3 linked regions of the Ovis aries genome follow. The protein of the gene in region 3 purifies or fractionates together with the protein of the main gene of each other region. This does not show direct contact. Links are inferred from orthologs where the notes say so. Each region holds a gene or a part of one and is shown on either strand. Other genes may lie near its edges.

What was found. Proteins that work in one complex are often made in the same cells at the same time.
Region 1: the proteins of TNRC6A (region 3) and CNOT7 purify together in Homo sapiens (affinity purification with western blotting; 3 studies listed by BioGRID and IntAct, with this or other methods). This does not show direct contact. The link is inferred for Ovis aries from reciprocal best matches to the Homo sapiens genes TNRC6A and CNOT7.
Region 2: the proteins of TNRC6A (region 3) and protein argonaute-1 purify together in Homo sapiens (affinity purification with mass spectrometry; 10 studies listed by BioGRID and IntAct, with this or other methods). This does not show direct contact. The link is inferred for Ovis aries from reciprocal best matches to the Homo sapiens genes TNRC6A and AGO1.

The regions. Positions count from the first base shown.
Region 1 is NC_056079.1:19,173,409-19,183,078, reverse strand, and holds part of CNOT7 (CCR4-NOT transcription complex subunit 7), read right to left. Parts: exon of another isoform or gene 9,602-9,670; intron 9,548-9,601; exon of another isoform or gene 9,341-9,547; intron 9,286-9,340; exon of another isoform or gene 9,210-9,285; intron 7,901-9,209; 5' UTR 7,808-7,900; coding exon 7,691-7,807; intron 5,872-7,690; coding exon 5,678-5,871; intron 2,116-5,677; coding exon 1,954-2,115; intron 433-1,953; coding exon 288-432; intron 1-287. UniProt on the Homo sapiens protein: Has 3'-5' poly(A) exoribonuclease activity for synthetic poly(A) RNA substrate. Its function seems to be partially redundant with that of CNOT8.
Region 2 is NC_056054.1:10,844,556-10,854,225, reverse strand, and holds part of protein argonaute-1, read right to left. Parts: intron 6,085-9,670; coding exon 5,925-6,084; intron 5,744-5,924; coding exon 5,653-5,743; intron 4,557-5,652; coding exon 4,362-4,556; intron 1,988-4,361; coding exon 1,853-1,987; intron 1,236-1,852; coding exon 1,134-1,235; intron 807-1,133; coding exon 607-806; intron 368-606; coding exon 259-367; 3' UTR 1-258.
Region 3 is NC_056077.1:22,981,215-22,992,600, reverse strand, and holds part of TNRC6A (trinucleotide repeat-containing gene 6A protein), read right to left. Parts: intron 7,213-11,386; coding exon 4,636-7,212; intron 3,420-4,635; coding exon 3,243-3,419; intron 2,540-3,242; coding exon 2,364-2,539; intron 1,241-2,363; coding exon 1,208-1,240; intron 1-1,207.

The sequences.
Region 1 (9,670 bases), on a different chromosome or scaffold from region 3:
TGCTAGCTCATGTTCAACGTGGCAAGAGAATGACAAGAATATGATCTTTGGTTTGAATCTTGCTAAAGCTTATTCTGCAAATATATAATGAAGCCTTGAATAAGGATTTCTTATAAACTATTTTTTATGCAAAAAAGGAATCAGATGACAATGTATAATCAGATAATGTGCATTTAATATAAAACTTAAAAATAAGATTTAAATCAACATCCAACCCAGCATCTTTTAAGTCAGTTACCCGCTCTGAATAGCGTGTTGATTACAAATAAAACCATTTAAAGACTTACTTTGAGATTTTTGCAGCTCTTCATGAGGTACTTCACATCATAAATGACAGGAAAAAACAATCGAAGGATCTCAAAGAAGTCAAGTTCTTCTTCAGGCAAGTTAGAGTTGGTCAGGATTTTGATTAAGTAGCCAAAGTCATAACCACTATGAAAGGGTTAAAGAATACAGAAGAGGGACCATAAAAACCATAGAAGTGAAAAAAACATTTTTTTTCAATACAACTTTTAAGCGAGTCACACCATAAACGGGAGAGGAAAAAGAAAGGAACCAGAAAAAATGCACAAAAGAACAGAGAAAATAAACACATTTACAGTTATAATGAGGAAATGCCATCATTCACAGACAGTGATAAGAACCTGTCATATCATCTATCAGGAATGTTAGTATACAAATCTCTACAACTATCCTAGGACTGTAGTCACTGAACTACTATTTAGCAGATCCTTCAACAGAGAACTCTCTAAAATCAAACTGTCCACAGCAGATGTCTCAAAAAATAGAGATGAAAGGAGACTTGGCAAAAATGTCAAAGACAGCAGAAAAACTGGCACTCAGAAGACAAAATAATGTCTGTCTTCCCATCATTTATATAATACAATCATACATTTCAAAAACCCAAACAGTAATTCCCTACCAAATTATTTTCACTTAAGTAATTTTATAAAGAAATACTCTCTTCCCTCAAAATTTTGTTCCTATCTCAATCCCTCAGAGATACTAGTGGGAATGTTGTACATGAAAGAAGTGAAGCAAGTAAAGGCTGAGAACTAGTATCTAGAGAACAAAAAGCCAACTCCCACATACTCAAATCAAGATCCTGTCCCTACTGTCTGGCTTTTCCACAGCTTTATACCTCCCTGCACTCCATCCCACAATCACATCCCTTCTCTTTCCTGTCAATCTTTCCTTAAGATCTCGCACAGGATGCCTTCCCCCAAGAGCCCCACTCCCACAGATTTTTCAGACAAGCTGCTTTCTGTACCACCATTTAAAGCACATGTACTGTTTTCTCCACTTCTTTAAAGGGCAGGTGTCACATCTTGACATTTTTTTCCCCTTAAGACACATAGTTGGGACTTAAATATTTGATGAGAAAGGCTATTTAACATACCTTTTAAAGTGACAGTACATATAAAATTTCTATTCAGTGTTTAGAGTTTTACTTCTTACTTTAAAAAGAGGGGAAAAAAAGCTTTAACATTGAAAACCATAAGGAATATCAAGATATAAACAATAAAATCAGAGATTATAGCCTATTTTATAACTTAATTCCTAGAATCTTATCAAACTGCTTGACATACGGTAGATAACAACTGTTTTTTTGATGGATAAATGTTTTCATTCTAAGGCTTAAAAATGTTAACTCTATTTATTAAATAAATAAACCTATGTAATAACACAGATTCCAAATGGCGTTGCTGGACTTAAACCAACGTCTGTTTTTTCAGCCTCCACTCTTTCCACTATGCAATACTGTCTCCCTTAGTCTGAAATGGATCCCACATCGTTAAATGAACCTTTAAGGAGACCACATTAGCCTGTTGAGCTATATGGCAGCCAATTCTCTGCTGAACTAAGCCTGAAATGCTGACACCATGACCCAAGTCAAGTGTGAAGCAGCTAGAAAATGGTAACACAAATACCATTTGCAATGCAGTCTTTTACCTATGAAATGATAACCATTTGACCCCTTCACAGAGGACTACTCCTGATGTCATAAGAAGTTCTGCAAAGTACTGGGTCTCAATTCCTTCCTCCTCATGTTTTTTAAACTGGATACCAGATGTTGTGAGCAGCTCTATAGAGTCTTGGGCATACATGTCCTCCCTGGCAGGAGAAAAAGAAAGACAACATTCAAAAGTGCCATATTTCAAACTATGTTTCTCCCACTGACATCTACAACTACAGTGCCAGAAATATCAAGAGAGAATGGGCCTGAGTCCATTTGTTCCAACATTTCATATATACGGAAGGTAAATGTGACTGAAATACAAAGGTCAACTTAATTTTAGAAGAAAAATTATACAGCAAATTATCATTTGAAACAGTCCAATGGTGAGATTTTAATCTTTACTATCCATCTCATTAGCCTTTCACAAATTAAGTAAATTTAACTGGGTTCAAACAAAGAAAAACGGTCTTCTACTCACCGTAGCTACCACCACAGAGTAACAGACATGTTCTTATCCGGGCTTTCAGTCTCAGCAGCCATTTTAATGCTGCCCAACAGAGCTGCAGCCACAGTGGTGAAGCCTGTGTCTATCTCCCAGGTTCTCAGCAGAGAGAAGGGAGAGAGATTGAAGGGAAAACTCCTGCTGTGCCAGCGTTAAACCACAGTCTGTCTTAAAGAAGGAGGAGTTGCATCCTCTCACTACCATGAGCCTCTCAAACAGTTCCAATCAGCAGTAAGCTGTTTAAAATCAAAGACTCTGCTGGAGCAGCATTAATTTCTCCTTCTAACAGCCTTACTCCTAGAAGATTACTTCTCAAAAATCAAGCCAGGAAATCTAAATATAAACCAATCTTTCAAGATTTTACTTAAGCCAAAAAGAAAACCATCTTTAATATCCAAGCACAAGCACACAGGTATCCAAAATACTATATTAAATCAAAAAAGTGATCAAAATAAAGGTATGTTTCTGAGAATGGAAAGTATTTCATGCAGTGCCCACTGGATGTTTCTATTTACTTTGAAAATTGTGAGAATACTGATTTCTACCACTTAGCAAAAGAAAGTTCTATAAAAGCTTTAATAAAACTAAGCCAAAAGGAATATTGCCTTTGAAAAGTAATAAAACTAGCAAATGAAATATTTAAAAACAGGAATTGCAACAATTAATCTTAAGTCAAAATTCCCTGGAAAATTATGCCAGAAAACTCTTTCAAAAGGATATCTGAATAAACCCAATACAAGTTTTTTCAATTACACAACAGATATTACTTCCTTGTTATACTAAAACATGTACTTTAAACAAGTAGAATCTCACTCATCATGCCCAGATGCTCACTAAGAGACATGCTCTAGCAACTATAACCAACCAAAGGCATAAGAGACTCCTTCTCCAGGCTCACATTATTCTGGGCCATATGCTCACTTTACTTTTACGCGCTCTCTCTTAATCACAATTTAAGCTTGAAGAGGGCAATGATTTTTGTCTGTTTTGTTCAATGTTATATTACCAGGGAGTACTGCACTATTTAAATCAGTATTTCCCAAACTTGCCCAATGATAATAATCACTCAGATTAACTTGTCAATAATATGGATTCACAAGTGCCACAGCTGGACATACTGTATTGCCATCTCCAGGAGAGAGACCTGGGTGAGTACTCTGGTGTTTCATGATCAAATATCATATTCTACTTTACTTTTCATGTATGTATCAAGTCCAAATTCACTTTAGAGCAAATTCCCAAACACTGATCAGTACCTAACAGTTCTAATTCTTGGAGTTCAGCAACAGAAAGCAGACAGAAGAGTTATAATGACCATGACCAACTTTCCTCAACATTATGTCCCTGGGACCTAGCACTGCTGCTGACACATCCATTCTAGGAACTCGATAAAAGTCAATTTTTACCTTTCTTCAAAATATCCAAGATTCATGGTGCTCTTTCTCCACATTAGGTAGAACCGGTTTTATTTTCCAACTGACCCTTTCTACTAAATGATATTTTTCACTATATCCTTAAAGATCTCTCAAGATATTAACATTAGGATGAATGGCAATAAAACTACAGCATGAGTTTTGCTGTATGAGAAAAAATGTACGAGAAAAAAAAACGTCTTTCAGAAAATACACTAACAAAGCAGTTGTTATAAGACCAAAGATGTTTCTAGAAAGGAAAAATGTCTATTTTACCAAAACTGAGACCCTGATAGGTCACCTACTACTCACATACTGAGATCATAGCACTACCTTAGTACAGAACAAGGATCTGATGATCAGCTTGGGAAAAAAGCAATATAGAGCAAATGAAATGGTAGAGAACCGATTTTAAAAAGGGTTACCTTTCAGGAAAAAGATAAAAGGGAATTTTCAGAATTAAAGAACTTATAAAACGTTTAATCAGTCTAAATAGAGATAAGTACCTTTCACCCTTGACAAAGTTCTGGAGAGTATATTATTAAATCCAACAGAGTGAAAACAGAGTCAGGCTAAACATAATGCAATTAGAAGCCATACTATTACACCACTGATAACACTCCTCTAAGCTCATCACCCCTGCTTGTTTTTAGATCTTACATATGCTAAGTATCACACTACAGAGAACAGAGGTCCTTAAATGGCACTACCATCAACTGGGGCTTCTCTAGTGGCTCAGATGATAAAGAATTCACTTGCAATACAGGAAACCTGGGTTTGATCCCTGGATCAGGAAGAAATCCCTGGAGAAGTGAATGGCTACCCACTCCAGTATTCTTGCCTACTTTCACAGATAGAGGAGCCTGGTGGGCTATAGTCCGTGGGGTCACAATGAGCTGAACAAGACTTAAGGGACTGACCACCACCACCACTACCACCATTAATTGTCCTACAGCTTCATTTACTATTTTGCAAATTGGATGTAAGATCATATGAAACAAGCAGAGACTGTCAAACAGAAGGATACTGCAGAATAGTATCATACTCAGAATGTATTCAGCATATCCCCATCTTACAGTCAGTTTGTAAACAATCTGCCCTCACCCAAAAACACTGGAAACTTCCCTAAGCTATCAAGACTACTCTTACCAATTATACAGAAGTACTGTAAGTAAAGAAACTGGGTTGTGACCCAGGACTTGAGTTAGAATTCAGATTCCAAATTGTTTCCTAAAAGAAACACCAGGCTCGAGGATACTAAATACTTCTCCCATATGTAACCTGTAAGAGGTTCTGTGGGCTGGGCTGACGCAATAACTGATTTGAAAGGAAAATGCACCCAAGTTTCTAGGAATGATCTTATTATCACCTCTGATGAGCCTTCTATTCACACAATGGACTATAACCATGATAAGAATCTCTTCATGAGAAGGATAACTTTTACAACAAAGACATATATATTTCAAATTGCACACAAAGTTTGAAAGAAAAATTAATGTTGTAAAGTTATCCTTTTTCTATCAAGAAATATTTTCAAAACCCAGTTTTCCAAATTTCAAAATAGTGGCAGTTATGCTTTTAAAATAACAGCTCTAAAACTCAAAAGTTTCAGCATTTAAGTCTTCTTTATCCTGTTTTTTTTTTTTGTCCCATAATAAAAAGAAGAAACAAAGTTTTGAAATTTTAGGTTTTAAATATTTCCAGGGTAGCGATACCAAATTTCATTTGTTGTACCTGATGGAAATTGATTTCTAAAATTAAACTAAAAAAAACAAGTTTGGGTTAAATTTATTTCCTACTTACGTCAAATTAAATTTAAAGTTAAACTGCCAAGTTGAAGTTCCTGGTGGGTATTCTCCTTGCTCATTCATAAATGTCAGTCCTAGCTGAATTATCTTCAACAAGTCTACATTACACCGCAACAGTTGGTACTGATAGTCAGCATTGCTCCTGAATTCTCCAATGGGTCTTGCAACCACGCCTGGAAACTCGGTGTCCTGTAAAATAGTTTTAAGGGTCATTACTTACTAAATGGTTGAAACCACAATCCCAAAATTCCTAGAATAATTAATTTTGAGTACACATTGAAGAATCCTGTTAGGGGTGATATTCTACACAATTCATGTTCAATTACAATGTACCTTTTAACTAGGAAGAGTATTACTTTTTAAAACCATAAAACCACAAACTTAATGACTTCGTCTTACTTTAAATATCATATCAGGAAAAAATTACCATGTATAATGTACACATAATAAATGTAACTAAGTACTCTATTCCTGAGGAAGGAGGAAGAAAATTACAAATTCATGTTTTTCAACAAGTATGTGAAACTATGCTCGTAGTATTGTAATATTAAAACCAATGAAGACGGTTAAAAAGACTAGAAAATGTACCATACTTTTTAATTGCTTTTCTGAAGTAAGTATTTAGATAAATACCAAAACCCTCCTACTTTTTTGGCCTAAAACAGTACTCTCTACACTCCAGAGAAAACATACCCTTAAAGACAGCATGCCACCACTCATTCTTGTAGAAAGCTATCACATATCTAAAGTTGTCACTGCTTTCATTTGAGAAATAAATGATCACTATTAATTTCTACCATAAAAAATAACTTCATTCTAATTATGGATAAGAAAATACATCTATTAAATAGGACATTATCTGTGTACATTCAAATATTCATATTTTAACCAACCAACCTGCCCCTCCCCAAAGCAGCATATTTATTTATATTAAATATGCTAAGAAAATAAACATATCATTTTAGTAGTAAAATTCAAATTAAGAAACTAAGAACAAAACCAAAATTTCAATTCTTATAAAGGAGAGAAATGGAAACTTTTCTAAATTCAGAAACTCAACAACCACTTTATTGGATGCTATGTATTATGCTAAGTGTTGGGGGGAGAAAGGATGATTAAGATACTAAGCTCTTTCTTCTCAAAACTAGTAATCTAGAATACTGTAGAGAAGTCAAAACAGACAGTGCTCAAGAAGCAAAAAAATTAATTGAGTAGACAGGCTAGGCAGAGTGAACAGTATATACAAAACTAGAAATGTTTAACAACACAGTATGTTCACGGAATTCCACTGGTAATTAAAAAACAAACAAAAAACTACAGATCAACAATGCTTCAACGGAAGATCTGAATTTTTTTGTTTGAGAAAGACATCTAGGAGCTCCATCTGGTATTAGTATCAGGTCTTAGTGTTGCTAGGAGCAGACCTGGCATTCACAGCTAGGTCCTAATGGGTCTTCTGCTGAATATAAACAATTGCACACCATAACATCAGACAAGGCCAGTCTGTAATCATAACTGAACATATGCAAAAACACATTGTCCAAACCATAAAAATGATCAAACCTTCTTCTATCTTAAATAACAAGTGACTGTTGCTTCTTTACAGCTTTAGCCTCACTCTAGTCTTCTCTCATTCTAGTTGAGACTCATTAAGATATCCTATCGTGGAATTACCCCAGCTTCCCAACAGTTCAGAGCAGAGCCCCACTTCTTCACTCCCTTCCTAAAACCACTGCCACACACCCCAATTCCTAGGTCTTTCTAACGCTCGCTCGCTTACGCAAATAACCCCATGGTTCTAAGAATGAATTTTCCCTCAATGCAATGAGTAAGAAACCCAACTTGTCACATTACTAGTGTGTTCTTGGTGGTCTTTAGTTGGGAGGTCATTGACAAAATTATTTTCATTAAATACCTAGAAAAAAAATCAACCAGAAGGGTTGAATTCAAGATGTTTTAAAATCCTCTTTCATAAAAGGCATTTTAAAGATTTTGCTCACAGGCATACCATAGCAACGTAATTATATTTTCGGATAACTTGACGAATTTTCTTCATTTCTTCATCCAGGTTGCAAGCCCAAACTTCACAAATTCTTTGGCTATGATCTACAGTTGCTGCTGGCATAGTGAGGGCACAAGGAGTCTAGCTGCCAAGCATCAAAATGTTATACTTGATTGAAGATTTGTTTCGTAAATGCTTTATCCTTTATTTGTGTACCTGTCAAAATAAGAATCAGTTATACCAGGAATCTGAATCACAGAATGATTGAGTTGATAGAAACCTAAGAGATATTTATTTGAGGTCCTTGATTTATGAGAAAATCAAAGTTTAGGATGTGACTTGTCTAAAGTCACACCACTAATCAGTAGGAGGAAAAGGACAACACAGGTTTCCTGGTTCTAATGTTAGGTAAAAAGTGTTTTCTGCATACACACTAATCATTTTTAAAAACTTCCCATTAATAAAAAATTGCTCTGAATTCAACTCACTCTCTGAATAAAACTTTATAAAGACATCCCTTTTCAGGTAAACATGAAAAGTGACATACTGAAAGACGTAACAAGATCAGATGTTACTAGGGCAAAGGCAGTATTAGTACTTGCTTTTATTCCTAACTGAACATTCAAAGTCTGATTTAACTACAAAATTTACCAGAATTTATTTAGGTCAGATGGGAGGGGCCAAAAGTAAATAATTTTTTTCTTTTAAGAAGTTCTTTCTGAGCAATAAAGAATAGCCACAGAAACTGTTTCAATGTCTGTAACTGCTGATGGGAGAAAGAAGGGAAGCGATAGAGTCTCTGCATTTCAAACTCTAATTTCCTAAAAATCCGAGCATTTTCCCTGGTTACCAAACACACGTCACGTTTCTTACAAACACAGGTTTCATGGTAACAGTACAGACCAACATTTTGGTTCTTAAGCGGGGAAATTCCGGATCCTCTTTCGCTTTTCACACAAGTTTGAAAAAACCGTGTAACAGACAAGTGTAAAAACGAGTTGTGACCTCTTCTTATAACTCTACAGTCACAAATGTAACCTCGCGTGCTCTAAGAACAGAAACCAAAGATCGAAGGGCTACTCCCTTTATAACCCTCTTCACTCGGCTACACACACACAGACACACACACACAATTTGGAAAGGCCCTGTCGTTGAACATTGCTTTCCTCCACCTCGCTCTCTACTACACTTCCAGAAGACCTGAAGAGGCACCAGAGGCCTTCTCGTTACTGGAGGTAGCCAACTCCGAACAGCGGGTTCCCAACGAAACGCGAGGACAGTACAGACACATTCAAGTCATAGATAACTCTCTTCCCTGGCAGAGAGCCAGCGCGAAGGCTGCTGATAACCACTGACTGGAGCCCGATTGACTCCAAGCCCCGCCGCAAGGACTGCGAGGAGCTGACGGTCTAGGCCACCGCCCTCCACTCCCAATTTCCGTCCCGCACCACTGAAGCCCCAGGTACAAAGCCTTCGCGTCATCACCCCGCGCCACCCCCTCGACAGACCCCCCAGCCCCAATTACCTTCCCCCCCCGCACCCGCCGCTCGGCCCGTCCCAGCGGCCGCCGCGCTCCAGCTGGCGCCATCGCGCGCCCTCTCAGGTTCGCCGTTCCCGCCCCCTTCCTACTTCCCCAACCCGCCCCTCCCCCCCCACCAAGTCTGAGGTAGACGCGAGATCTACTTGTGTCGCTGAGCTCGCGCTCCTCCTCCTCCTCCTCGCCATAGAGACAGCACCCAGCGGCGGCAGCGGCGGTGGCGGTAGCGGCGGGGGCAGCAGCGGGTGCCCCATAGACACCGCTCGCCGGGCAAGGGGGAAAGGGGAGCCGGAGCTTCGCCGCACCGCGCTGCGCTGTCGCTTCTCGCGCGTCCGGGCAGGGGCGCCGGATGATGACGCCATCCGCAGAGGGGGCGGGGCACGCAGGTGACGGAGGCTGAGGCGGTGGAGAGTTAAAGCGGTCGGGCTGGCTGGCTGGCTGGCTGGGGC
Region 2 (9,670 bases), on a different chromosome or scaffold from region 3:
CCAGTGGGTTCAGGGCCAGATGGGACAAGATGGGGTGAGGGGTTGAGGGCATGAGGTGAATATCAGAGATTTCTGGCTGGTGGTCTGGCTTACTGGCCCTGTTCCCCACCCTTTTGCCCCCTCTGCGGAAGGAAACAGGGCCTTCTGCATTCCTCCCTACCCCACCTCCCTCCTCCCTGCTTCCTCTGGATTTGGGCGGCACAGCTCTTGGGGCTTGGAAAGCTTTCTTCTATCCAGTGAGGTAACAGCGTTCTGCCTTCAAGCGAAGTACATGGTGCGCAGAGTATCCTGGTGAACCTGCACGGCTTTGGCCAGGGCCTGGGGGTCCCGCCCATTGCTCTGCCCCGATATGTGGCTCCCCTCTCCACTGAAAAGGAAAAATGAAAGAAGTCCTTCCTGGTGAACTGAGCTGCCACTAACCCTTCCCCCACCCCTAGGGTACCAGTTCCCATACCAATTAAGAGAAAACCCCAACCCAGATTTGGGCTGACAAGCCCCAGGACACCAAATTGGACAATCCTCGTTTCCTTCTACCCACGGAAAGTTGAGAGGGTCTGGTACCAGAGGCTGAAGCAAAAAGGAAGCCAGCCTGATTCCAGGCCTCACCTGTCATGCTCTTTGTCCACTAGGTGGTATCGTGCCCGGAAAGCCACCAAGCGGGCATAGTAGGCAGGTGCTGGAATTGAGACGGAGCGTGTGCATCGTACATAAGTGTGGCACAGCTGGTACGTCAAGATCTGGAGCTCATCCGCTGTGAAACGGTTGTCATCCCAAAGGACATAGTAATGGGATGGTCGGCTGGTGCCCTGGGAAGATAGGAAGGTGAGGGGCCCCAGGTTGAGCAGACGGGATGGCTGACAGTAAGGAATAGGATCACCATTATGAGTATGGCTGGGTTGGAAGGCCCACCCATGAAAAGGCAGACACAAAGCCACCTCTGTCATAAAGCACCCACTGTATGAGCAACCTGACTAAGATGTTGAAAGTACACTTACGTTCAAGTGCACAAAGGGCTTATTAAGAGAACAATCCTGATTTGAATGCCCCTCAGTAATGAATGATATATTCTAAAGGCAATGGGAATGATCAATTATCTTTGACCCACTGGATACCCCAGGACATAGCCCAGCTACCTGGATGCCTGCGTGGCTGCACAGATAGAAGTCAAACTCAAATGGGTGGGTGATGTTGGTGTCCACAGTGGTCCCAGCTGGGATGTTACCACTCTTCCCAATCTGTATAGAAACAAAGACAACCAAGATCCCAAGACCTGCCTGGCCCTAACTAGGGCCTCAACTCAATTCTAACCTGACTCCATCAGAATCCCAAAAGTAAGGCAGAAGTTGCTGTTCCCAGAGAGAGTACTGGGCGCTGAAATAACAGGCTTCTAAAGTTACACAGACCTGTGTTTAAGTGCTGCTTTCACCATTTATTAGCTGTGTGATCTTAGCAAGTTATTTAACCTTTCTGAGGTTAAACTGGAGATAATAACAGTACCTACCTCACAGGGCTGCTGTGAGGAAGACGCCTTGCACAGTGTCTGGCACATAGAAGTTCAATAAATGGAAGTTCCCTTTCCCATCTCTGGGAGCTGGTCTATATATGGGGTCTATAGGCCAGGGAGCTAGGAGGAGGGAGATCAAGTTTAAGGGAAGAAGGGAAGGAGGGGAGAGGGGGAAACAAAGGAAAGGAAGCAGCAGAGGAAGGACCCCAAGAGTCAGGGGGAAGAAAGGTGCCAGGGGCGATGGACAGGCCAAGGAGTAACCCCCAGATTTCATTTCCACAGCTCCTTTCATACTCAGAGAAGGGAGACATGACCAGGGAACAGTGACTTCCTCAATCCCTCACTCACTCGCTCATTCTTGTCAGCACAAAAAAGGCGGGTGTGATGGCGTTTCTGCACCACAATATAAGTGATTCCGGGCTGGTAGTCCTTTTCCAGTTTGATGCAGGCATCGCGAATGGCCAGCAGCTCATAGTGGAGGATCTAGGCACAGGGTGAGGAGGGAGACAAAGAGACATACAGCTCCTCTTGAGTTCATTCATCTTTCTGAACTAAGGGTTTGCCACTTGTTATACAGCTTTTTGTTCAGCCTCCCTTTATAAGCTGACACCCAACCATCAGAGAGGATAAGCCCTTCCTACCAAAAATCAGCCTTACAGAAGCATACCTCAGAAATATTGCATGTTCAATTCCAGACCACTACAATAAAGTCAGTCACACAAATTTTCTGTTTCCCAATGCATACAAAAGTTATGTTTATACTACACTGTAGTGTATTAAGTGTGCAGGAGCATTATGTCTTAAAAAAAAATGAAAACAATGTACATACCTTAATTTTAAAAATACTTTATGGCTAAAAAATACTAACCATGACCTGAGCCTTCAGTGAGTCACAGCAGTAACATCAAAGATCACTGACCACAGATCACCATAACAAATATAATAATGAAAAGTCTGAAACATTGCAAGAATTACCAAAGTGTAACACAGAGACATGAAGTAAGCAAATGCTCTTGGAAAAATGGTGCCGACAGACCTGCTGGCCGCAGGGTTGCCACAAACCTTCAATTTGTGAAAAATACAGTATCCGTGAAGCACAATAAAGCGAAGCGCAGTAAGACGAGGTGTGCCTGTAGACAGTTCACCTGCTCTGTTCCTATAAAACCTAGCTGCGGGGCTTAGTATCCGCAGAGAGCACTCACCTGGTTCCTACGCATAGTGAGACCTAACATCAAGACACAGAATCAAGGTTCACAGAAAAATCACCATGTCCAGAGTAAGGACAATTTTAGGATCAGGAGGAAAATGGGCGTTTCCCCATGGGAGCAGACAGGGTTGGGACCACCACCAAAGAGTAGACACAGAGTTCAGGAATGGCTGTAGAGGGAGTAGATAAATTCAGTTCTATAAAAAAAGCAGTATCATAAGAAAACAGACTAGCTAAAGAAGCCACAGGTGAAAAAGCACAGGCAGTAGCTGCCTTGTTGCCTTGGATGTCAGATATAGGGAGTAAAAACTATCTGGTAGAAGTAAATAGAATTTAGAATCAATCAGAACTAAGTTTTTAAACCCCAAGCTTTATCTAATTTTATTACTTTGAGCAAGTTACTTAACCCCTTTAATAAAGTCTCATTTTCTAGTTACTAATAAGATCATCCTCACAAAACTGTCTGTGAAGACTAAAACAAATAATTAAGTGGAAGCATAAAAAACCTAACAGGGGCTTAATGACTGCTGACTGCTTTGCATAAGCACTTTGAATTTTAACCCTAGGCTACATGAAGCCACAGGACATCTCTGAACAGATACATGTTATAAATTTACCTGGTACTTTAGGAAACATTGTATGACTCAGAGGAAATTGAGCATAATAGTTAAGAGCATGAACTCTGGAATCTGAACAACTTGTCTGAATCCTAGCTTCACTGCTTATTAGCTTGGATGACACTGAAGAAATCATTTAACATTTTCAAGCCTCAGTTTCATCATCTCTCAGGTGGAATAATAATTACTTCATAGGATTCTTATAAGCACTGAATAGAGCACATACAAAGCGGTTAGCACAGTTCATGGCACGTAAGATACCCAGTAAATGGTAGTTATACTACTTATTATTAAATGGTCGAAAAGGAGATCAGTTGAAGATACTAGTCTAAACAATAAGCTATGAAGGCTTAGCAGGGAGACAGAATGTTAAGAACACTGTAAAGGTCAATAGCAGTGTGGCCACCAGATCAGCACGATCACTAAGAACCTATCAGAGCTACAAATTTTAATACCCCATCCTAGATTCAATGAAGCAGAAATTTTAAGAGTGGAGCTCTGCAAACTGCTTTAGTAAGCCCTTCAAAAGATTCTGATGGATGCTAAAGCTGGACAGTGAAGTGAAAGTCGCTCAGCTGTGTCCAACTCTGTGCAACACCATGGACTATACAGTCCATGGAATTCTCCGGCCCAGAATACTGGAGTGGGTAGCCATTCCCTTCTTCAGGGGATCTTCCCAACCCAGGGATCAAACCCAGGTCTCCCGCATTGCAGGTGGATTCTTTACTAGCTGAGCCATCAGGAAAGCCCAAAGCTGGAGAACCACTGGTCTAAAGAATCAGTCTTCACCATGAATTAACTAGTAAATAGGCACTGAGAGTCTTTTATTACAAGAAGGAAGGTCTATCAATGACTCTACACACCATCTCTCAGTTGGAATCTCTGCTCCCAAGCCAATTCCATTTAGCAAACCTCCGTAAGTAGAAGCACCTCCCAGTGTCAACAGCTTAAGAAAGGGAGCAGTACTCTCTCTGCTACCATTAGGCCCTACGGCCTCAATGTGAAGGTTTTCTTGACTTATTGTGGGCCCTACCTGGGGAAGCTGGCCTTCAGGAACCCCATCTCGGTAGAAGATGATGCGGGTAGGCTTGAAGCGTGTGGACTTGTAGAACTGGATGAGCAGCTCACGTACCATGTAGGATAAGTCTTCAATGATCTCCTGCCGTGGTCTCTGCACTCGCACAGTAGCACAGTAACGGCTGGGGTGGGCATCCATGCTGCCTACCACCTGATAATCAAAGAGGCAGGATCAGCTCCTAAAACCTCCACCCTCCCAACACTGGTGGTTCTGGGTTTGGGGAAAGATCTCTTAGAGGGAATAAAAAAAAAACCAACCTAAGAAATCAAACATGTAGGTTTTTTGGATTCAATAGCCCTGGTTTCAATCTCTGTTCTCTCACACACACGGAAGTGATTTAACCCACCTGATCTTCTTGTTCCTCTTCTCAAATGGCAAAAAGAGTAACACCTGCCTGCAGTACTGCTGTGGCACATGTAAGTCACCACGCACAGGACCTCACTCACAGTAGGTACTTGCTAACTTTGATTTTCCCACCCCTTACAGAGGGGCATGTGATGGTTCAGCACTGTGAGCTCAAAGAGTGACTTCATCCGAAAAACAAGCTAATCTTTTCTTCAAGTGCTAATCTACCCCAGGAACTACAGTGAACAGTGCTCTTGTGGATGGTAGGAACAACATTATTCTCTACGGGGACAGAGGCCAGAGACTAGGATGGATGGCCACAAGGAAAATAAAGATAAGCATAGTATAGGGTTTCCCCACATTTACTGAGATAGGCCCAGTCTGCCTAGAGAAACATGAAGGTTCAAGAAAAAGAAATGAGAAAGAAGGCCTGGTCCCATCAGTCAACTGAGAAGCCCTGTGAGACAGAGCAGAGCTGTCAGGAGAGGGATTAGAGAGCCATCTAATCTACTAGATGAGTCAGGGTACAGATAGGAAAGAGTAAAAGACAATCCCAGTAACTAAGGAATTCACTTAAAAGCGACTTCGGAGAGGAGATATGGTCCTTCCCACATCCCAAAAGTGGGCACAGGGAGACAGAGGGAAATTCAAACACAGAACAAAAGTGATGGAGACATAACCAAGTCTCTGGCCCCACTCTACTCTCTCACTGCTCTCTCTGAAAAGAAGATGTCATACAGTTAGCTTTATTAGAAAACCAAGGGCCTGGTTAATGGGGATGATCAGCTGCAATAAAAAGATCTTGTGACGGGTCAAGCACCAGAGTTGAGGGAAGGAAATCAGGTGTAGTCTTGGGGGCTCAGAAGAGAACCTTACGAGCAAGTTGGAAAGTATCACTCACTGCTGTGATGGAAGGTTTTTTCCCATCCCCTGCTGGTGGGTGTGTAACATCTGCTCCCAGGAATATCACTGGTTGTTGAAAGACTGCAGAGCTAAACAAGGAAGAGAAAACAAAGGGTGAGGAGTTGGGTCTTCTTTTCCTGGCACCATCTAGCTCCCACTTTGGTCCCCTCTCCCTTGTGACTCACTCTGCCTGGACAGTGTCCTATCTTTTCATCAATCTCCAGTATATTACCTTGCTTGACAAGGGCAAGTAAGCAATAGCATTCATACCGCTGGTGTGGGACTAGGATGTTGTTAATGCCACCAAGTTTGACATTGATCTTCAGGCAAAGGTTAGACAGAGTCTGAGGCGAGGTCTTGACCACGTTCTTCACTTGCACACACTGTGTAGCCATTCCCAACAGAGTATCTCCAACACGTTTCACTTCAGCTATGATCAGGGAGAGAATTGATTAGTGCATTCAGCAAATTTTTACTGAATGTCTACTTGATTCCAGGAAGTATAGGAGGTGCTAGGGAACACAATGGTGATCAGAAACACATAGGGTCCCTACTCTTATAGTGCTTACTATCTAGTGACTAATTTTAAAAATCATAAAAAGCGTAACAATGATAAATGCTACAACAGGAAACTTCACAGAGCTATGACACAGAGAGCATATGATATAGTGTAATAACCTAGCCAGGAAAGGATTCTTCACTGAACTGAAATTTAAAGGTAGAAAAGAACTTACAAGGGAGAGAGAATGTGGAAGAGAGCATTCCAGGCCAAGGGAAGAGCAGGCAAAACGCACTGATAGGGGACAGAGCCACGAACTGAAGAAGCTCAAAGGGCAAACCAGATATAAAGGAGAGCAAGGGAACTGCCGTGTGAGAGAAAGAAAGTGGTGATCAGAACAACCTAGGAAAGACATGAGGGTAGTTCAAGAAGGCAGTTGTCAGGATGGAGAGAAGCAGATTCAAGAGGCTATGTAAGGGAAAATAATTTTATGGATAACTTATGAGTTTCTAGACTTTTGTAATAGAATAGACAGATCTTAAGTTCTTTTTGAAACGTTTTGAGTTTGAAGAGCTTTTTGGTCATCCCATTGAGGATATCAATCAGGCAACTGAGTACAGCAATTGGAAGTTCAAGAATAGTCTGAAATGGAGATGTAAAATATGACATATTTAGGTACAGGTAGTAATTGAAGACATGCTCTTGAGATCAACAAGGAAGTGAATGGAGTGAGAGGAGAGCGCTTAAACTCAATTCTTGAGGAGCTCACAATACTTGTAGAACAGGAAGAAGATGAATCTGCAAAGGACAAAAATCCAGATATCTAGGAGGAAGATCAAGACAGGGTTGCAGCATGAATGCCAGGGAAGAAAGAGCATTTCAGGAAGGAGTAAGTGTTCAACCAAGTCAAATGCTGCTAAGAGGTAAAACGAGGACCAGAATTTTGTGACAGCAAGGCAAAAATTAATGAACAGAGGCAATAACTGTTTTTGGTAATATCAAATACCATGGAGGAAACATGGGGTCAATAAACAGTACGATATATTTTCAATGGGAGAAATTTGAGACTGTTTAAAAAGCTAAGGGATCATTTCTATCTCCAAGAGATATGGTTAGAAGGAAACCAGTGTCTGTTGAGAACATTCAAGAAAACCAAATACAATTCATAACTCATCTTTCTGAAGGCAGTAGAGAGGTGCTAAGACAAAAGAACTGCAAGAGCTAACACTCCAGAGAGGAAGAGAATCTCACAGAGGTGAGCCATCTGCTGCAGCTGCTCTGCCCTGGGTACATTTGCTGATTCTAGATGTGGGCAAGAGGCTGAGATTCTAGGCTTTGCACCAAAAGAGGAACCACTGCCAAGAGACAGAGAAAGCAACAGCCATTTCTGGCAAACACAAGCTAGTTCTAAATGTGAAAGGTTAAAAAAAACATTTAAAAGAAAACACAGACTAGTATCTTCGTGACCTTAGGATTTCTTAAACAGGACTCAGAAAGTACTAGCCATAAAGGAAAAATACTGATAGACAGGACTACATTAAAATTCTAAAGTTCTGTTCAACAAAAGAACCCATTAAGAAAGTAAAAAGGCAAGCTACAGATATGTGTAGTACACATCATATTTAATAAAGGAATTATAAAGAACATCTAAGCCAATAAAAAAAGAGAAAGACATGAGCAGGCACCTGTCAAGAGGCCAATGAAACAGCCAATAAAAATATAAAAAGATACTCAACCTTATCAATCACCAGAGAAATCAAATTAAAAAGCACAATGCAGTATTAACAAACACCCGTATAAGTGGCTAAGATGAAAATGACAATACCAAGTCTGATAAGGATGTAGATGACTAGAACTCTCATTTTGCTGCTGATGGAAGTATACGTCTGTACACTTAAAAGCCCTCCTAGTTACACACCCAATAGAAATGGGCACATATATTCAAAGGACATGTACAAGAATGTTCACTGAAGCATTATTTATAACAGTAAAAGCCTAAAACAACCCAATTATGTCCATTAACAGTAGAATGGATAAATACATGTAAATTGTGTTAAAATCATATAACGGAAAAACTGTAACAAACTACAATTAAACAAACACGGACAAATCTAACAAACATAATGTTGAGTGAAAGAAGACAGACATGTAAAAAGGTACATGATATATGACTCCATCCATATGAAGTTCAAAGACAGTCAAAACCAATCTATGGTGTTAGAAGCCAAAAGAACAGTGGTTATCACTGTTAGGAAGTTGTAGTAATCAGTAGCCTGGGATTGTGGTAATGTTTTACTATCAGAACTAGGTACCCCTGCTGTGACACTGAGAATTCACTGAATTGACCACAAAAGATCTTTGTATGTATATCATACTTCAATTTAAAAATTACATTAAATAATTATATCAATTTAGTGGAGAGGAAGGAGTTAAAAATACTAAGGACAGGATGAGGCATGTTAGCAGATTAGAACTGGAAATGTGACACTGTCCTTTTATACTTTGGGGGCAATTATAACGCATGGGGACCTTGTTTTGACTATCACTTGGCCTCTCAGGAAGGATGGTGAAGGATCTTTCAAAGAATCTGACTGCTCCTCCTATGTGCATGCTTAATTCCTAGTCAAATGCCCCCATTACCTAAGTGGTATAATCAAAGAAGAACATGTAAGTGAAAGAAACCCAAGGTCATGATCAAGGTATGAAGCTGGAGAGAGGTATAACATGACTGAGCCCAGGGTAGGGAAAACTCTCTGAGTAACACCTGACTTCTTCAAGCATGCCACACCACACCACACAGGGAGGCCAAAAATATTGGATTCTCCCTTTATGGAGGGAACCAGAAACATGGCTAATTATGCAAGGCAATTCTCCTAAAAAGCATCCTTATTTTCTAAACAAGGGACATTAATTTAAGGCCCAAGAGAGATGTGGATTGGAGATCAACCAACTTTCATAAGTACTGAGTATCATGTCAGTGGAAGGCTCCTCCTTGGGTATGTATGTACAGAGGGAATACGATTTTGAGCAGAATCAGATCCACTCCATGCTCAAAACAATTAATTGATCAGCAAACTGACGCAATTTCTGGATGAATCCAGAAAGGTAGGATGATAAGAGAAAGCTTCCAGGAATAAGTACATTTAAATTAGAATGTGAAGGATAGAATTTTAAGGGCAAGGTGGGGCATAAAAAGAGTAGACAGTCTAACCTAAAATCAGTCTATCTCTATCACCTTATCCTTCCTTTACTTTCTTTACATCTTTACTCTTTCTTCATAGCACTTCTTATCTTGCTCCTCAGCTGCAATGTAAGCTCCTCAGGGCACAACTTTGTCTTGCTGCTGAAGTCCTAGCACCAAGAAATGGCCAATACACGGTAGGCTCTCAATAAATACCTGCTTGGGAGGAAAAAAAGACTAAACAATTAAGAGCTTCTGATTTCCAGGCGTTGGAAGTTGTGCTTGCTTGCTTCTATTTTGCGGTTAATCTGTTATCACATTGAGACCAATGACATG
Region 3 (11,386 bases):
GGAGAACTGTTCATCAGACAGTTTCCAATACACAAGTGGACTGTGTTCTAAAAAATTAATTATAATTTGGATTTGTAGAATTCTCACACCAAAGCAAAGTAAAAATAGTCACTAGGCTCTCAGGTTAGTCCAAAGAAACCAATTAAAACCATAATTTAATTATGCTATGTGCACTGTACTGAAAAAACACCATATGTTTCCATAAGAAAGAGTATTTTAAAATTCCAATTTCTGTTGCCAAGAACACAATATCCCCAGCAGCAACTAAAGCTGGGATCCTTCCTACTTGGTGTTGGCTTTCCGTGGCTGGTTGGGGTATAAGGTACGGAAACCACTTGGAAACATGAGCCGAGAGAACAAACGGCCCACGATTAGCAGCCTGGTAGACAGGGAGGCTGGAAGCCACAGAGACCAAGGCCGCCCATAAACGATCACAGAACCATTCTCAGTTTGCTGCCATAATTTCCCTAGCCCGTTGCTACTACCTGTTCCTTCTGACTGTGGAACAGAACACAGCTTCGTAATTTCCCCTTGAAAGCAGGTCTCTGAAGCAAGCATCTAACCCTTTCCAAGGTTTCTGAAGTTGACTTTGATTCCTTTTCCTCTTTTACTCCCACCCCATACTTAACTGGTTGCTAAAATCTGTCTCTTTAATCCCAAATGTCTCTCAAATCAGTCCCTTCTACTAAATATTTATTTCTGCTTCCCAATTCAGGCCGTCCTTTCTAACCTGAATGAATGCAGAAGTTTCCTAAATGAGATCATTAACTTTGGTCTTTCTTCCAATTTTAAAAACCAAACTGATGCTGCCTTTTATTCAGTTTGATTGGCTCCATACATTATGCTAAATAAAGTTCAAATTATCTGGCATGCTACTGAAAACACTTTAGTATCTGCCCCTAATCTAACTGTGGAGTAGACTGTCACCTCTTCCCCCCAACAGTCTGTATTTCAGGCTACCACTTTTCCTAACACATCCCACTCCCAGGCATCTTCGAAACTCAAGCTAACACTCCTTAGAGCACTCCTCACACCCCCATACGAAACCCTGAGCTCCCGGAAGTATGCACTTATCCTAGTGTTTTTGAACCCCCAGCACTAAGCACAGTACCTGGCACACAGCAGAGGCTAAATAAATATTTGCAGTTGCTTTCTAAAAGATTTTTACTAGTAGAAACAAAGGAGAAAGAGTAAAAAGGCTACACACCCTTTCCCTTCTCCTTTTTTTGCCACTCAGACCCTGTAAGGAAAGACAAAGTCATAAAACAGCATGGTCCAGTGGGAAGAACACAGGGTTTGGAACTGGAAGACCTACACTTAAATCCTTGCTCTGTCACTAGTTATGCAACTTGGGGCAAGCCACCACCTTTTCCAGTTTCAAACTCCTTATCAGTATTCTATCTCAGAAGGTTATGAGGATCAAATGATTTATGTAAAATACGGGAAAATGATTCATACGCTATACGGTGAGGCAACAGGCAATTGCAGCCCAATGAAAAGTCTTCAAAATGAAAATGACAGGTCCTAGACTTAGAGCCCCAGGCTCAAAAGGGAGGGACCCTGGCCATGGGCTACTGGTATCTGACTTCTGAGGTCCCTCAAAAAGAATTCATTCTCAAACAGGTTGGAAAGGATGTATCAGAATCACCTGGGGGGACTAAGCACATATTTTGAAAATGAGCCCCAAGAAAATCTGACACTAGTCTTCTCAAACTTGGCTCTGTATCAGAAACACTTGGCGAGCTTGTTGAGAACAAGAAACTTGGCTCAATTTCCAAATCAACAGTAGGCCTAGGGTATAGGAAATTACACTTTTAACAAAGGCCTTACAATTCTGATGCAGAGCCAGGTCTGGAATAAGGTTTGTCTACATATAAAAGCAAAACCAAGTGCTCTACTCATTCCTAGAGATTTCAGTCCCAGGACCTTACTGAGTAGAGAAGGGACGAAGATGGGGGATGAATAACGAGCACGGAAACTCTGGGTAACGCGGAGGCTCGGGGCTCCAGGTGAGGCGGTGGAATGGGAGATGGACTGGCAGTGGGACAGGAGGCGTCAGCATGGAGGTCTGCCCTTCTCTTCATCCTCCCCACTGCAGGCACCATCCTGGGGTGAGGTTGTCCCAGGTAGCACTGGTGGAGGGGGAGGAGGCGAGAGATGCCAAGCTGTAGCCGTGGGGAGAAAGGACCTTCCCGTGGTCCTAGGTCTCTCTAGGTGGCCGCCCACACAGGAAGCTCTACCTAAGCTGGGGACTGCCTGGACTATACTGACTGCCATAAGTGGGCAGGCAAGCACGTAATCTTCTGTGGGGCAACTACCTTTGGAATTTAAAGTTTCAAGGGCTTTGCCCTTGAAATGTTTACCTTCGAAGACATTTTCTTTGTATATGGTGGCCAATTTAAAGATGAATTAAGCTCTTGAGATGAATTACTATTCCACATTCCAATCTCTACATCTTCTTCCTCTTCCCAGCCAGTGGGGCGATTTCCAGGCAAGGGCATATCATCACCACACCAGCCGTCTTGCATAGATTTTGGCCCTGATTGTGGATTTGTGACAAAAAGAAACATGCTACAGTCAAACAATTCTTTCCGGAGGATGAGCACTCATTAACGGGGCAGAGCGGGGGACAACCTAGAGACCCTCTTTCATTTCCCTTCCCAGGTTTGCATGGCAAAAATGTATGTTAAATACTGAGCTAAAAGCTAAACAAGAATTTATTTTTAGTAACATTTTCAATAGAACACTTCTCATGCTTTTACAAATCAGAGGGTTCCTAAACATGGGACATTGGTGGCATTCATGTTCGTTTATTTGCTTAGGGCCACGAGGATGAATGGAATTTTTAAAAATTCATCTTAATACATATTTTTAAAGAGAATGGCCCAAAAGTGCAGCATGCAGGTCAGAAGCAAAAAGTATCTCATCACTATACTTGGTCTTTGGAATCCCTACAAGAATAGTAACAATGTCTGTCTGAATATTGAGGGTCCTTCCTGAACTCTGCTCATTATCTGTACAGTATTTAGGGACCTGTCTGGTACCTGAGCCAGACCACTTGGATATGTGTCCCCAAGACTATTATACTCAGTCTCTTGTGTTGGATAGCATGAAAGTTGCTTGACAATTACAATAATATGTGGATACATTATCAACGTCATAAACGTTATCCAATTACTTAATTACAGTCAATGAGATCACCACTGCTATCCAACGGAAACCAGGAATTATCAGTAACTTACCAGATTTGCTTAATGTTTGTGGACCAACAGAGCTGGAGCCCCACGTGGATGTGCTGGATGCCGCAGCAATGGGTTCGCCCCAGCTAGGCCCACTGTCTACGGGTTTACCCCAGGCTGAAGTACCATTATCCACAGTTGTGGCTGGAGTTGAAGTCTCCCCCCAGGGCTCACCCCAGCCTTTAGAAAGTGTGGGAAAAGAAGTCATCAGCAGGTTGAAGGGGTAATAAGGAATACTTAGGGAACAAAAGAAGACCTTCACATTTGTGTATTAAATAATGATGCTGTGATGGGCAAAAAGGATGGCCTCTGTTTTAGGTAAAGACGACAAATAATTTTCCATTATTATAATCCAACTATAATTTTTTTTCACCTCTTCTTTCAGAATTGCCCTCAAGGTGCACAGCAGATTCTTTTGAATAACCTTAATTATGGTAAGTCATCCTCCTTTGAGGATGAATTTAATTCCTATAAAAGCCAAGTCATTCTGAGTCAAACCTAGTCAAGCAGGTGATCAAGCTGGCTAACAGAATGTGCATAAAACTTTTATTATAACTACAACCTTTCAACATCACTGTTCTGGAAAATGTAGTTTAATATAAGACTAATGATAGGTAGGCATCCTACTTGTATATGCTGGACAACGCTTCTTAAAATTTATTAGGCTGTCCAAAGCCAACCGTAATCAACTAAGGCTAAGCTAAGCCATAAATACATTGTTTTAAAAGAACCACAACAGCCTTCCCCTTAGATACACACACATTTCTTCTTAGAATTAAATCTAAATTAATAATACTCAGAAAAAAGAATTAGGCACTGAAATGTTAGTTCATGAAAACACTTCTGTCTCTACATCCAACAGGATTATTATTCAACGAAACCTCCATTAAAAAGACAGCACATCTCAATGACAACTAGTGAAAATGTCACTGTCACACGCATACACGCTGTATTCAACATGCCTACTTAAATAAATCCCTTCTATGGCCAATTACAGTATCTAGATTTTTAGAGGACTGTACTTTTAGGTACTTGTTTTATTTCTGGGGATAGTCAAACAATAAAACCAAAATGTTAACGGCTCAAGTCAGAAAAAGTGAGATGAGGAAAGTGCACAGTATTCCCACTTGACGTCCCTTTTCCAATCCTGCCGTCTATAACTTTCTGGATAGAGAATGGAGTACGTGGGATTCACAGCCAATACTACCAAAGGCAGAGCCGTTTCCTGACAGTAACACCTTCCCCATAATCTTCTTCCCTACAAACTTCTCCTGGATTAGAGTTTAAAAAAAAAATTGGTTTGTGTGCACATCCAAAATCAGTAAATTGAAACAAGGCTCCTGCGACTATGAAGCACTATGAGAAATAATCAAGACTGCAGAAAACGAGAACTTACCGGAGCCACCGCTTGCCTCTTTGTTTGAGATGGTACCTGCAGACGGTAGCAACTGGTGTACCTGTGCTTGCTGGTCTGAGCGGCTGCTGCCATTTGGGACGTTTTTGTTCCACATGTTCACATTTTTGTAGTTGTATTTGCTGGGATCTCCCCAAGCTGAAGTCCCATCGTCAATCTCCATTTTGCGACGTATGGATTCTGGGGATGGCTCCTCCCAGCCCGTGGGTTCTTCCTCTTTCGCTGGGGCTGGCATAGGTCCTCCCAGCCAGCCTGTACCAGGAGGTTTGCCTGTCGCCGGCGGGATGCCCCAAGATCCGACAATGTCTTGTTGCTTGTTCCAGTCTGGAGAACTGACCGGCTTTGATGAATCTCCCCAACCTAGAGACTGATTAGACTTTGGAGGGTCTCCCCATCCCTGGGAAGGATTCGGTTTAGAAGATTCGTCCCAGCCTGATGAATTATTTGGATTAATGTTATTTCCCCATGTAAAAGAACTGGTTTTACCGAGTTCATTCCAACCAGAAACAGACCTATCACTGTCACTACCTCCTGAGCTAGACTTCTTGTTAGCCTCTCCCCAATGGTTACTCCTTGAAGTTTCTCCCCAGTTATCACTGGCAGAGACGGACCACCCTTGGTTTGACTTTTGTCCATCACCCCATCCCTGTTTGTTCTTTTGCGAATCATTCCATGCGGACTTCTCTTCTTTGCAGTTCCCCCACTGATTGCTCTTGACCATTCCTGTAGCAGCAGAGTCATCTTCCCATCCCCCCTGGCAGCTTGAGCCTTTGGAATCTCCCCACCTCAGAGCAGGTTTGGGATCTCCCCACCCCGATACAGATGAGGTATCATTACTACTAGGGCTAGTCTTATCTACACATGCCCCTGAGTTAAAAGTCTGTGTTGCAGAGCTTCCCCAGGCCTCTGTCCCATTGTCAGTCTTTCTCTCCCCTCTAGGTGATGTTTCAGTATCCCAGGCAGTATTCTGCTTAATAGGAGTCTGTCCCCAGCCAGAGTTGGACAGGACACGGGGGTCTAAGTCAGTTCTGTTCACAATGCTTTGGAGTAACGTGTGCTGGTCCACTTTTCTTCTCTCTCTGCTCTGATTTTCCCCAGTCACCTTCTCCTCGAGGCGTCCAGTGCTTTCTGTACTACCTTCACTCTCCACTGTACCTCCCGTTTTGGCCCACACGCTGTTTTGCTCATTCGTCTGAGATGCGGCAGAACCCTGATCCTCTTCCTCAGTAGACTTCCATCCGTTTGTAAACTTCTTACCGTTGCCATCCGCACTGTCACTGGAATGCTGATTGCTAGGCAGTTTGTTCCATTCCACGCTGGGTATATTAGTGCCAGTGTTCTGTGCAGGAGCTCCCCATCCTCTTCGACTTCCTCCAGAATTTGCACCATTTCCCCAGGATGCACTCTGGGAATTCACTGCTCCGGACTCCCACACGCCGCCTCCTTTATTTGTGTTAACTTGAAAGTTAGTGCCCACAGGCCCGTTTATGCCAGGCTGCATTAGAGTTGCATTCACAGTGTCACCATTAGCTTGGCCATTAGGGCTTGAACATTTGTCTCCAGAGTAATTAGAACCATAGGCACCCCATGTAGTACCGTAAGAGCCTCCACTTTTTGACTCTCCATTGCTAAGGTGAGAAAGGGAAGTGCCGTTTACAACCGAGGGAGCCTGTATCTGAGGATGATTCATTGTGCTCACACGCCAGGCCCCTGTATTACTAGGCAGTTCATTATTCTGTACTGAACCGGAGTTTGGTAAACTAGAGGTCATAAAGTTAGTAGTGTTATTTGGTCCAGTCATTTCAGCGGCAATATTTTGAGGTTGACCACTGAATGAAACCTTCTGTGTACCACTTACTTCAGATTCACAAGTTTCCTGAAGGCTTCCCCAGGTACCATGGGTGGAAGCACCACCCACTTTAGAGTTAATACTCTGATTGTTAGGCATCTGGCCTAAGGGACTGCACTGAATATTGATGCCAGAACTACCACTCCCTACAGGCCCTTTTAGGGCAAGTCCGTTGTTCTCTAATACTGGCCAGGCACCATGGTTGCTAGCTGAATTCAAAGTGCTTGGATTTAACCCTCCATTTGATGAAGAACTTACAGTGCCCCAAGCATTCATCCTATTGTTGCTACTTTCCGATTTGCTTTCAGGAGCATCCACAGAGGCCTGACATGTGCTTATTATGGCTCCATGGGAAAAGCCCCACGGCCCAGTGCTATTTCCGTGGCCCACATTATTGCTGCTGCTACCAACCACAAACTTGTTCTGGGATCCAAGTCCAGCGCTATTCCGAAGGCCATCATTTTCACCACCTGTGCTCCCTGAAGCCATGATAGTGATGGGTCGCTCTGATTCAGAACTGGAGGCAGAATCAGCATCCATACATTCTGAAACCAACTCCGGATCACTGCCAGGGGCTGAGGGCCATGCTTCTTTCTCAGGGGAGTCGTTCACAACAGCATTCTTACAGTTTGTACTAGAGTCACTTGTAGACGACACAGGTCCCCGCTCTGAATTTTCATAATGGGATCCTGGAGTATTGTGGTTTATATCTAGAATAAAGAAGAAACACAAAAAAAATCAAGTGTTTGGAAAAATGATGAATATATTATAAATGTGTATGGCTCCTCAACAAAATATAACGCTTGGCAATATAATTACAAGGGCACTGGTTATATCCCAGCCACGAACTTTCCGTATTCAATAATTAATTCCACATAGGCAGGAAATTTGTTGCTTGGTTCATTATGTTATTCCAAGAGCACAGAGTAGTACCTGGAACATAATAGCTCCTCAATATATATGTGAATGAATGAATGAACATATCAGCAAATAAAGAATTTGGAGTCAGGAAGAACAAGGTAGAAATGATTTATTAGGACGATGGAGCAACCTAGGCTTGGAGGCCCAACCTCAGAAAGAAAGGGGCTGGGATGCAAATGGGAAATGACAAGTGGACAGGCCAAACTTGGTGAAATGTACTAGAAATATATTAGGAATCCTTTTTTATCCACATGTTTTTAGAATAGCTATTTCACACAACTGTTTTGGGTATTATAACAAGTTTGTAAGAATTATAAAGCCTTTTCCATTATATTTGCATTTCATTAGTGTTCAAATTCAATCTGAAAAATACAGCACACAAGTAGAAATACTGCCTTCATAAAAATGTGTTAAGAGTCATGTTTATTAGAAGACAACAAAAAACAGTTGATATGCTAAAGATCAAAGTTATGATTAAAAATTCAACTGCTGACATTGAAGACATTAATGACTAGTCATATAATCCTATAAACTTCAGACTTATTGGTATGTATTATCATCTAGTTATTTTATTGCTTATAAAATTGTCCCAAATGCATCACTCTCATTCAGTTTAAAAATCTGGTTAAGTTAGGAATCTTCAGAGATAAGATGTGGGCATTTAGACTGTCCTCAGGGGGTTGTTCATATTGTAGTTCTTTACTACAGTAGTCATCAGCATCATATTTAGTGTTTGTAAGTAATACATATGCTTAAGTCATGTCCTAGATATAATGAACCAAACACTAGGTGCTATAAGCCCAGAAAGTAAAATATCACTCATTGTGAGGGTATAGTGAAATGAAAGTCACTCAGTTGTCTCCGACTCTTTGCAACCCCATGGACTGTAACCTTGCCAGATTCCTTTGTCATGGACTTCTCCAGGCCAAAATACTGGAGTGGGTAGTCGTTCCCTTCTCCAGGGGATCTTTCCAACCCACGGGACGAATCCAGGCCTTTTGCATTGCAGGGGGATTCTTTACTGTCTGAGGAACCAGAAAAGCCCACGAGGGTATTGCTGATATGGAAAATCAGATTCAACATGCATCATTATTTCTCAAAGCATAATTGCTAAGCAGCAAAAGGTGAAGAGCTAGAACAAGTAGCAAAAAACAAGGGGGGGGGGGATTAAACAGAGACCAAAAACGTATACATAACTCATTAAATATATATATTTTCTTAGAAGTTCTCTAAGTGCTTCTGACTTCCACTCTCTAACTAAAAATTACTTGGCAGTTCGAAGCTTCCAAGGAAAGCCTTTCATCTTTCAGTGCCCACGAGGAGGATTTTTCTCAGGAAATAAAGGACACAAAAACATCAGTCTCACTAACAAACAGTGCCTGCACTGCTGGCAATATCATTCAGCATGCTGGAGCACAAGCTCTATGTGGAATACTGTCACTGAATCCTTGAAACAGCCCTAGAGTAGGCATTACCTTCCCTTTACAGATGAAGAAATGGAGGCTCAAGGGCTGTAGAAAATAAGGTGAGAAAATCAGAATTCATCCTAAAGTAAAAAAGCAAGGTGGCTCAGAACATAGCTGGGACTCTAGAGATACCCAGACTGAGGTCTGTGTAGCAGCTGTATGACCAAACTAGTAAGATGGGAATATACACAGCACATACGGACTTCTTTACCTGGTTGTTAGTTAACCTAGTTTCATACGTAAAGTATGCAGCTCACTGCTGGCTTCAAATAAGTGCTCTATGAAGGGCAGTTTGGTGCAGTGATGCAGAGTAAAACTCTCGAAGCCAGCCTGCTTGGGTTTAAAAGTCACTCTGTTATCTACCATCTGTGTGACTACAGGTAAGACCCTCAAATCTTCCTGTGCCTTGGACTCTTCATCTATAAAGTGGGAATAGTAATAGTAGTTACCTCACAGAGTTGCAAGGATTAAATGATTGCTAACTAAAATTGCTTTGAACTGTATCTGATTCAGATACAAATGAGGGCCATTAGTTTTTCACTAATTAATGTGTATCAATGATTATCATTTTCAGTCCTATCTGCAAAGTTATTCATTCTACCATACCTCTCTCATAAAGAGCAAAGTTAGAAACCATACACCAACGTGCTTACTTTAAATCTCTACTTAGATATCTCAAAAAGGTTGTTAACTCCTAGATTATACCTCCACAGGCACCTCCTCTCCAAGGAAAAAGCAAGCCTGCTTCTTTTCCAGTTTTCTTCATCTTGGTAAGTTTTCTAAAACCTAAGATTCACCCTTGATTCTTTCCTGTGAATAGCAAATCCAGAACATCAGCAAGTCCCAAACCTTCCACTTTTCTCCAAATCTAAAACAGTCAAGCCATGGTCTGTAGCAAAAGTACTTCTGATCTATTATTTGCGTGCGTGTGTCTTGCCACTTCCCAGCAGGAATAAGAAAACAAGACTGAGAAAGACAGACAAAACTACCCAAATTGAAAACAAAGGAGTGGACCTGGGATTTAACAGTGAAACATAATCAGCATTCCCCTAACAACAGGGAAAAGACAGGAATCTGTTATCAGCACAACTACTCAACTTTGTGCTAGAAGCACAAACTGATGAAATATGACCCCCCAAACGAGGTCAAGATAGTAGAAAAGGAACAAAAAGGGTTAACATGTAAAAAGCCAGTTTTCCTATGCACCAAAAATAACCAACAAGAAAATGGGATGGAAAAGGATCCAAATTATAGGAACCACAAAAAGTATTAAGGAACCTTTGAAATAAAGTTAACAAAAATATTCGATTAAATTTTATTGTAGGTCATAGCAGATAACCTGATTAAATATAAACTTGCTCCTCAACAGGAAGATATAACAACATTCCTTCTGAGTTTAATTATAAAAATTTACTAACAAGAGTCAGTAATTTGATTAAAGAGATATAAAAATTCACATAAGACATATAAATAAAATCCATAATCCACTTTTATCATGCACTAGTTAAACAGCACCGTCCTATCAGAGTATGTAAGAACAGAAAAATTAATCCAGAAATGGACCCACGTATATTATCTAAGGTTATATGCCAAATGTTAGTATTTTAAATCACCCAAAGAAAAGGAATATTCAATACTTTTAAAGATTTCCTAAATGAGATGATCTATCAAAAGTAAATCCAAATGATTCAAGTGTTAAAGATGAAACCATGAATTTGTGATGAGAATTTCGTATACATAAAAGCAAAGAAACCATTAAAAAAAAAAAAAAACTTGGCTATTTACAAGAAAGGTAAGGTTTTTTTTCTTTTTTTTTTAATGTCTGAATACATCAAAAGCAAAATGCCCCAGAAAACAGCAGAATACACTTTGCAAACCAATCTTTAATGGTAGTGAAACTTTCTCACAATCTGGCTGGCCATGACCTAGTTTTGGAGGAGATTATGGTCCATACCTGCCTTTTGCTGTGTATGCCCATGTATTTTAGGAAAATAAGAGATGCCATCAGTAATTATTAGCTAAAACTCTATTTTTAATCTGGAACATACTTGATACTTTCCCAAAAACATAAATTAAGAGGCTACCTCAAAAAACTGCATTTACCAACGATAGGTCACAAAGACCACTTTTTGTTATGAAAAACACTTCAGCTTAGACAGAAAAATCTGTGTGTGTGGGGCAGGGGAGGGCGGGGCGGGGCAGGGGGAGTGGGGTGAGAAGTGCAGGACTCCTCAGCGATCATAACTAAAACATTTCACAGTTGGAGACTACCTCAGAATTGAAAGAAGTCAAATAATGCACTTCCCTTAACACACAAGGAAGCCAGAATCCACCATTACAAATGATCTGGAAGATAAACATACAGCAACATTAGTAAGTAGAAGATGGCAGTCACGCTTTCCCAGGAAACTGAGGAACAGGGAGACTGTAAAGCCCTGCGCTGGTGGGAGGAAAGTGGACAGTTCAGTTCCACAGTGTAACGCAAAACACAAAATTT